Solanum lycopersicum: one gene and its partner. The protein of the gene in region 1 interacts with the protein of each later gene in a pairwise test. Links are inferred from orthologs where the notes say so. Each region holds a gene or a part of one and is shown in the gene's direction. Other genes may lie near its edges.

Region 1 (3,130 bases):
TCTTTCATTCAATTTTCTTGCAAGATTTTTGGTGCTTCTCTTTCCCATTGGGATATTAATCTTCATGTGCCTGAATGAGTAGGGTGGCTCACTCTTTGAAATATGATTCTCATCAGGAATTTGTTGAGGCAAGACGAACTGCTGGACTTAATAATGCCCCTCCTTGTTTGTGGTCTCCTTCTCCTCCTCAAGAACTGACAGAAGCTTTTACAGAAGCATTATCTGCTAATGCCGGATTTGTTAGTTTTGGTATAACAGATATTTTAACTAGTTTTTACATTGATATTTTGTGATTCCCATGACCAACTTATTTTTTGACACAGTAATTTTTTCTCGCCACGTGGAAGGCAGAAAGCTGGACAGAACTGTCTGGAACCTATCAACCTTTCATGCTTATGTAAATTATCATGTTAAGGTGAGAATTCTAGACCAAAAGTTTCTTATCTATTGACCTAATTATGTCACATTAATGTGCTTCCATACTTGATGCAACACAATTCACGACGTCTTATGTCAGAAGCTCCCTAGTGAATCTTGAATATGTGCTTTGAAAGATTTTTGTAAATGATGAAGCCCTTCAACCTTATAGAAGGCCTTGCTGACTAAAGATAGAAAGCTTCACTCATAATTATATTCCTATATTTTAATAACTACTTTCTTCTATATTTCTGTGACTGTAAAATTTTAGACAAGGATTCTTCATTCTATTATAATTTTTTAAAGCTCTTCATTCTTTGAATCCATGAAATTAAAATTTCCCACACAGTGGATGCTTGGCATTATATATATATGTGACCTTTTATTCTTTTTTTGGAGAATATGAAGACTAAAATGCCACCACACATATATATCCCAATAGCTAAAGCTTTTTGTAATGATTTCTAATTCAGGCTTTTGTAACCAAACCTGTATAGTGTTCCTGGAGATTTAGTACTGGAATCTGTAGATCCTTGAAGCAGTTTATCTATGGAGGTCTTGAGTCTGTTAAAGTCTTGCAACTGCATCCACTGGGTTACTTGTGTATTTACTAACTTGGATTATTTCAAAGAAACGATCTTTCTCAAGTGAAGTGATCAATTTATGGCACATGTTGAGATTTTCATAACCATTACTGCATGCCTCAATAGCTTTTAATATGATAATATTATTTCTGTCAAACTTTATATCCGAAATTTAATCACTTCGATGTTTTTTCTGTAAACAGTGTTCTGAATGTTTCATGCATACTCGGATGAGGCGTCAGGTGGAGTCATTGATACAGGTAATTATCAATCTTTCATGATAAATTTAGAAACAATAGAATAGCAGGTTTATTGCATTCTGTAATACAAATGTATACTTGGCAATGACCACCTATAAAGAATGCTAATTGGGAAGTTTGCTAAATTTTATATCCGAGGTTGCTTTTTTTTTTTTTTTAACCTTTTTGCTGAAAGAATCATGGCAACTGTTTACTTTTAGCAAAAAGTTCACGCTTGTTCTGATGAGGCTGAATGTAGAGGTTTCTTATGGTTCTTCGTGCAATCCTATTAAAATGTCTGAGTTTGTTTCTCTTGGGCATTAGGTGATTTCCGTTTTGTGTTTTTCCATGAAGCATGTTCATCAAAGTCATTCTACGAAAAAGCTAAATGGTTAATGTCCAATCTTGTTCTTGTATGACCGGCACATTCATCTTAGTATCTACATCTCTGCAACTCTCATCTTGTCGATACGATGGAACTCTAGCAGCCCACATTCACTCTCATATAACATTACTGGTTTTATACTATATAATACTTGTTGCTTAAATGGCGTTTATGTGACCTTCCGAACACGATGCTTGATGATCCTAGTGCCTTTTAAGAACTGAAGTCCCACATGTATCTCAGCTTTAATTCAATTTTCCGTTTTGACATCACATTCTGCCTACTCAACTGCATTGTTTCGTCTTACTGCAGTTCCTTGTAACTAAAATGCCCCGGGACTCATTTCTTGAATTATTTTCTTGTTTAGCTGATCCTAGAACTTGTAAGTTTGTTGTTTGCGGGTTCACAACATTCATAACTCTTCTGCAGGCACTTGACCGTGCCAAACCAGATCCCGAGAAGGCCAAGAAAAATTCACCTAACAGATCATTTAAACGAATGGTAAGTCATTTGATTTGTTTGATCTCTACACCAAATCGTTTCTTACTATCTAATCTGTTTTCTTTCTTGACATTTATATAGAGCCTCAAGGATGGCAATAACAGTTTGGGTTCGCGAAGTTGGAAGTAGAAAATCCGAGAATTGAAAAGGTTACTTGGCCTGAAATCATCGTAAACGCAGCTTCTTCTCTAATAAACTCCATTTTTTTTCATCGTGTTCATGTTTATAGTTGTCGTTGTAAATCTCATTGAATTGTCTTCGGCGTTAGATTTGAACTTAGCCATCTTTGCTGAAGCTTCAAGTTTTGGTTAGCAGATTGCATTCGTTTTAGTTCTGCAAAGTAGTGTAAAGATTGCTTTGTAACAACTTGCAATATTCCCATTTTATAAAGTTGCATTTTTTGCTTATGCTCTAAAACTTGTCTCCGGTGTGACCGGCTCGTGGAAGCAACCACTTATGCTTGTATTAAGATAGACTATCTTCATCAGTCATCCCGTTCCTCGGGTGCGGTCCTTCCCTGTGCCCTACGGGAATGTAGGATGCTTTGTGCATCGAGCTTTGTACAAAATAGTCGAGACACACATAAATTTGGTTAAAATCCATTTTCTTACATGGCCAATGGACATTTTTCATTTTCATTTTTATATTTAGGTTAAAATTGATAAATATATAACACGTAAATATTGAAAAGTAGATATTCATACGCTATGTATTAATTAATTTAATGTAAATATCAGGTACGACTATTTTGTTTTCCGACAAAGGAAACAGTGGGACCCACAATCAATGAAGGTTCCCTTCCCTCTATTCTTATCTTCCGTGACTCTCCGGTCTCTGTACTTAAAACCCTCTAACATACGGCGTCGCGGACGGAGTTAGCGACCTAAAGAGTTCATCGAAAAATTATATTTTATATATAAAGTTATTTTTTTCTATTCATAAAAATAGTAACATATACCAGTGGTTATTACCTATTTTATTCGGTCTGTTTAATTTGATTATTA
Region 2 (4,603 bases), on another chromosome or scaffold:
TGAGGAGAAATTCCGCAAGATTAGACTTAGTAATGCTGCTTTTCAGGTGAGACGTCGTTAATGAAATTTGTTATGCCTCTATTTTTTTCTCTTTAGTTATTTCTGAACTCTGAAATTCTACTGGAGAAACGCTCCTTTAGTCCTTGCTTTTATAGCCTATGTTAGTTGGTTAGCTTCATTCAATTTCTGAAAATAGGGGGTGAGTTAGGTTTATATACTTTTGATTATTTGCTTAGTCAATTATTTTTGCATGCCAAAATGCAGTACGATTTAGGGTCCTTACCTCCAATTCTTTATGCAAAGGAGTGTACCAATTCCCAATTTCTTTTGCTTCCCTACTTGTCAAAAAATGAAAAAAGGGAACATTCTGCCCTCTGTTTCTTTCATTTTATAGTTTCTGAGTGACGGTGGGTGATAAGGTTGTATAATTTTTGCCATCCCATCTAGTTCTCAGTCCCTGGCTGAAGAAGGTGGTCTAGAGCTCATAAAGCTGGTGGCAGTAGCAGCAATAGCCAATATTCAGATGTTTTAAACAATACGTAGAATGTTTAAAACGATTTACAGACTCAGGGAACTATAACACACCATCCTCTTTTGACGTTTTTTCAGGATAGAATTGGCAAGCTGCAAGGAGGCATCGAGTTTCTTGAGCACTGTGGATTTGAGAAAGTTGAAGGAGGTGAATTCTTGTACCTGCCAAGAGAAAAGGTGGACATCGCGGTGCTTAACTCAGCTGGAACTGAGTTGAACAATGCTATTAAAAATCCCTTCTTTGGAGTCCTCTAAATTCTAATCTCAATACATTAGTAAAGATGAATAGTAAAGGATACTTTGTATGTTCCAACTTTTTCCCCTTTGTTGAGTCAAGGTTTACTTGAGTTTTATAAACTGACATTGTTTAAGTTACTTAGATTTGGTGGAATCATGTTCCTTTTTGAACCATTTTTTATCTACAAGTTTAATGGATCAAGTTGATGTTTAAGCTTTTCTTTTTCACTTACCCACCAGTGGTCTACCGCAAACCACCTCTCTATCCTCAAAAGGTAAAGGTAAAGTCTTCGTATATTTTATCTTTTTCAGATCTCACTTACCCATCCCCGATGACAGAAGAAGGACGTAATCCGTGTTAAGCTTAGAAGGGTAATTGCTCTCGTAGCCGCTTTTGGGATCGATTGGAATTTTGGAATTACATCGTGTACGATGTTTTCAATCAAATTAATTCTTAACAAATTAGTACTCGTAATTTGTGAGGGTCGTTCTAGCTTATATAAGAAATCCTTAGGAAAGTGTTTCCTATCTAGATTTTTTTCTAATTTGAAATCCGAGATGTTCGATTAAAGACAAAAAAATTTTCTATCTGAGGGTGTTCATTATAAGCTAGACATCCTTGCATGACCAAGAACAATGGAAAACATACCTGATAAATTAACGCGAACTTAAAAACTCTAAATGGAGAGCCTGACTAGTCTCGAGATAACTTGTTCTCCAACTAAACGAGCAACTAAATGAGCTCTGAGTGTATGTATCTATAAAAAAATTTGTAATCAATTATTTATCATCAAACCGACCTTAGCTCAGTTGGTAGAGCGGAGGACTGTAGTCGGGTCAAATAAAACCCACAGATTAATCCTTAGGTCAACTGGTTCGAATCCGGTAGGTCGGATTTTTTTTTTATAATTTTTTTTGGGCGCATTTTAGCAGTATTTAACTTAACGTGCACCCTGTATTCAGCTAAAACTTCGATCGGATTAATATTGTATTCAATTTCAAAGGGAAAATCAAGAAAAACAATCGTTTAATGGTAAGTATTTGAGTCATTTTGAATTTCGAAAAAAAATAAGGGTATTAAGTGATTTGATTATGTTGAGATGTGTTTGAATTGATTCTTGTTTAGATCCAAGATTTTATATTTTTGTAGTTTCAGAATGTTTATGTGCAGTTTTGAGCTGACCTCACTTGTGAGAGATTGCGCGGGGTATGTTTGTTTGTAGTAGAATATATTAGTGAACTTATATTACTGTTGTGCACTTATTACTATGTATATGGTGAAAGTTTGGGGGGTGGGGGATCTTAAGAATTATGAAATGAATGAGATTTTAGATGGAATGATTTCTGAAAGGGGTATGGTTGGTTAAAAATGTGATCTTTTTTTATGTGCGTGCGTAAGGTTTGTGTATACTTTAGCCTCCCTGAACCCCTTTTCGTGGGACTCTGTGTGGGGTGGGGTGGGGGGTTTACATGGTGTAAAATGCTGAGAAGTTGTAGTTTTGATGAATTTGAAGGAAAATCCATTATGATTGTGTCTGAAATGCATAAGAAACAAGCTTGAGGCAGCAATCTGTGGGTTTGGTTGTGTAAAAGTGTGATCATTTTTTTTGCGTGTGTAAGGTTTGCATACACTTTAACCTTCCCATACCCTACTTTGTGGGACTACTGGGGCCATGTTAGTGTTTTTTCTTATGTGTGTGTTGGGAGGGGTTACATGCTGAGCAATTATTGTTTTGATAAATTTATAGGCAAATCCTTTGCATTGTGACGTGCAAAAGAAACACGCTCCAGGCAGCAATGTTTGTGTTTGGTTGTTTATAAATGTAATTTTATTATGTGTGTGTTTGAGTGGCTAGGGTGGGGTGGGGGGGGGGGGGTACTTACTGCAAAATGCTGAGCAGTTATTGTTTTGATTTATTTCTAGGCAAATCCGTTGCGATTGTATCTGACATGCATAAGAAATACGCTTGAGGCAGCAATGTGTCTTCAGGTATGTAGCATTCTACATGTTAAATATCATTAGAGATTTTTGCAGTACTGTAAAAGAAAACTAAATACTTAGTTGAGTCCTTTTAGTTGTTGTGTTTGACTTGCATTGTCATTGGCCTGAGGTTTGTACACCAAGACATTAACGAAGTTTGGTAGTTTGAGACAATTTAAAGCATAACGCTATGATATTTTGGATGATTCGAGAAGCAAGTTGAGTTCCCATGCATCTAGGTCATTCTGTTTACACTTATTAGTTTTAATTCCGGCAGTCATATATGCTTTGATTAGAGAGTCCATATGCAGCATGTTATCAGCACTTTCGACTCTTCTCCACCCCCCCCCCCCCCCCCCCAACAAAAAGAAACTGTAGTCTGACATCTGCATTCCATTGTAATATTATTATTATGATTTGCTCCATTGCCTTCTCTGCATATTGTTATGCTTCTTTAATCATATGTTATTCGCTCAGCCGACTAGCTTGGAATTGAGGAGTAGTTGTCAGTGTGTGTTATTTCAGCCACCATTTGTTCTATGTTCAGTCAATTAGTTTGTTGCATTTGACATATCTTGATATATCTGAAAAAATAATTTGCTGTTAGTCATGCGGTGAAGTGTTAGCTTTGACTTTTAAGCCCCTTCAACCATTTATTCAGTAAATATGATGTATTGGTTACTCTATACCTGTCTTAACATTCCTTTTCTCATGGTTGTTGGCTGGTTACAGAATTTCCCATGCCAAGAAGTAGAGAGGCATAACAAACCAGAGGTTGAATTAAAGTATGACTTCATGCTGCTGTCTCATTTTACTCGAAGTTAATGATGTCGGTTAGCATTACATAATTTTTCTCTTCTGTAATTCATCAAATGTCTTCACAGCGTGTGGATTCCTATAATCAAGAAGAATTTCATGTGTATTCTTTTTACATATAGTATGACTGGATCCTAAAACATTAACTTTTGACTTGCATACACATATCACTTTCTGCAGCAGAACTTAATATTTTACTAAAATGCTATTGTTGAGTTCTCATCTCTTTACGCAGAGAAACTTATACTGAATGCTTTTTATGGGTTAGAGGAATCGACGTGCAGCATTGATAAAATAAGAAAAATCTTACAACACACGTTGACTCATTGCTCCCTTTTATTTGTTACCTGCAAAGTGTGTAGATCAGAATAATAATGTTTTTCTCATTTGGTATGTTCTACAGGACAAGCCCAGAACTTCTTCTTAATCCTGTAAGAACTGTTTTATATTCTTAACTTTGATCTTTATTTTTGAAGATCTCTGCTCGACAGACTTTCATGTTCCCATAGTTTGCTCATCTGCTCTCAGTACAATCATTGCCAATCTAAATTACATGTTATTATTGACTCGCTTTATATATGCACTGAAGGTTTCTTAAACTAGTGATTGTGTGTTATTCTGTTCATGATATTTATGAAGTGTGTAGAGAGTTCTTGCTTTTAGAATAATATGATTTTTCTCTCACGATTATCTATTTGTCAAAAACCTGCTCACGAGTTGTTAATTTAGCTGCCAGCACATTGTCGATGAGTTGCTTTAATGATGTAACACAGTAACAAGCTGTCCAAATTGGTTGGGGGGCACTAGCTAGCATTAGATTAGGCCAGCTAACTTCGCTATGAGTTTCTGTCCTAGTTGGTTGGTTACTCGAACTAGTCTTATATTTAGGTCATCTAGCGTCAAAAATGATGCAAATTTAGTCCATGATACTTTCCGTTAGAAGAAGTTATATGTTTATTTTTTATCTTGATGGTTAACATGTTCTCCATAACTAGTTAGGAAAAAATAATCAATAATTTAAGGTGCCAAAGAACTTAG

The links.
Region 2: the proteins of actin-related protein 2/3 complex subunit 2A (region 1) and actin-related protein 2/3 complex subunit 4 interact in binary tests that used the Arabidopsis thaliana proteins (3 or more experiments, as listed by UniProt). The link is inferred for Solanum lycopersicum from reciprocal best matches to the Arabidopsis thaliana genes DIS2 and ARPC4.

What each region holds. Positions count from the first base shown.
Region 1 is NC_090810.1:58,681,467-58,684,596, forward strand, and holds the end of actin-related protein 2/3 complex subunit 2A, read left to right. Parts: intron 1-116; coding exon 117-249; intron 250-323; coding exon 324-415; intron 416-1,204; coding exon 1,205-1,261; intron 1,262-2,054; coding exon 2,055-2,126; intron 2,127-2,207; coding exon 2,208-2,255; 3' UTR 2,256-2,543; downstream 2,544-3,130. UniProt on the Arabidopsis thaliana protein: Functions as actin-binding component of the Arp2/3 complex which is involved in regulation of actin polymerization and together with an activating nucleation-promoting factor (NPF) mediates the formation of branched actin networks.
Region 2 is NC_090811.1:68,151,683-68,156,285, forward strand, and holds the start of actin-related protein 2/3 complex subunit 4, read left to right. Parts: upstream 1-1,736; 5' UTR 1,737-1,798; coding exon 1,799-1,801; intron 1,802-2,516; coding exon 2,517-2,591; intron 2,592-2,692; coding exon 2,693-2,758; intron 2,759-3,481; coding exon 3,482-3,534; intron 3,535-3,968; coding exon 3,969-3,996; intron 3,997-4,603. Other genes in the region: uncharacterized protein, read left to right, coding at 1-46, 610-786.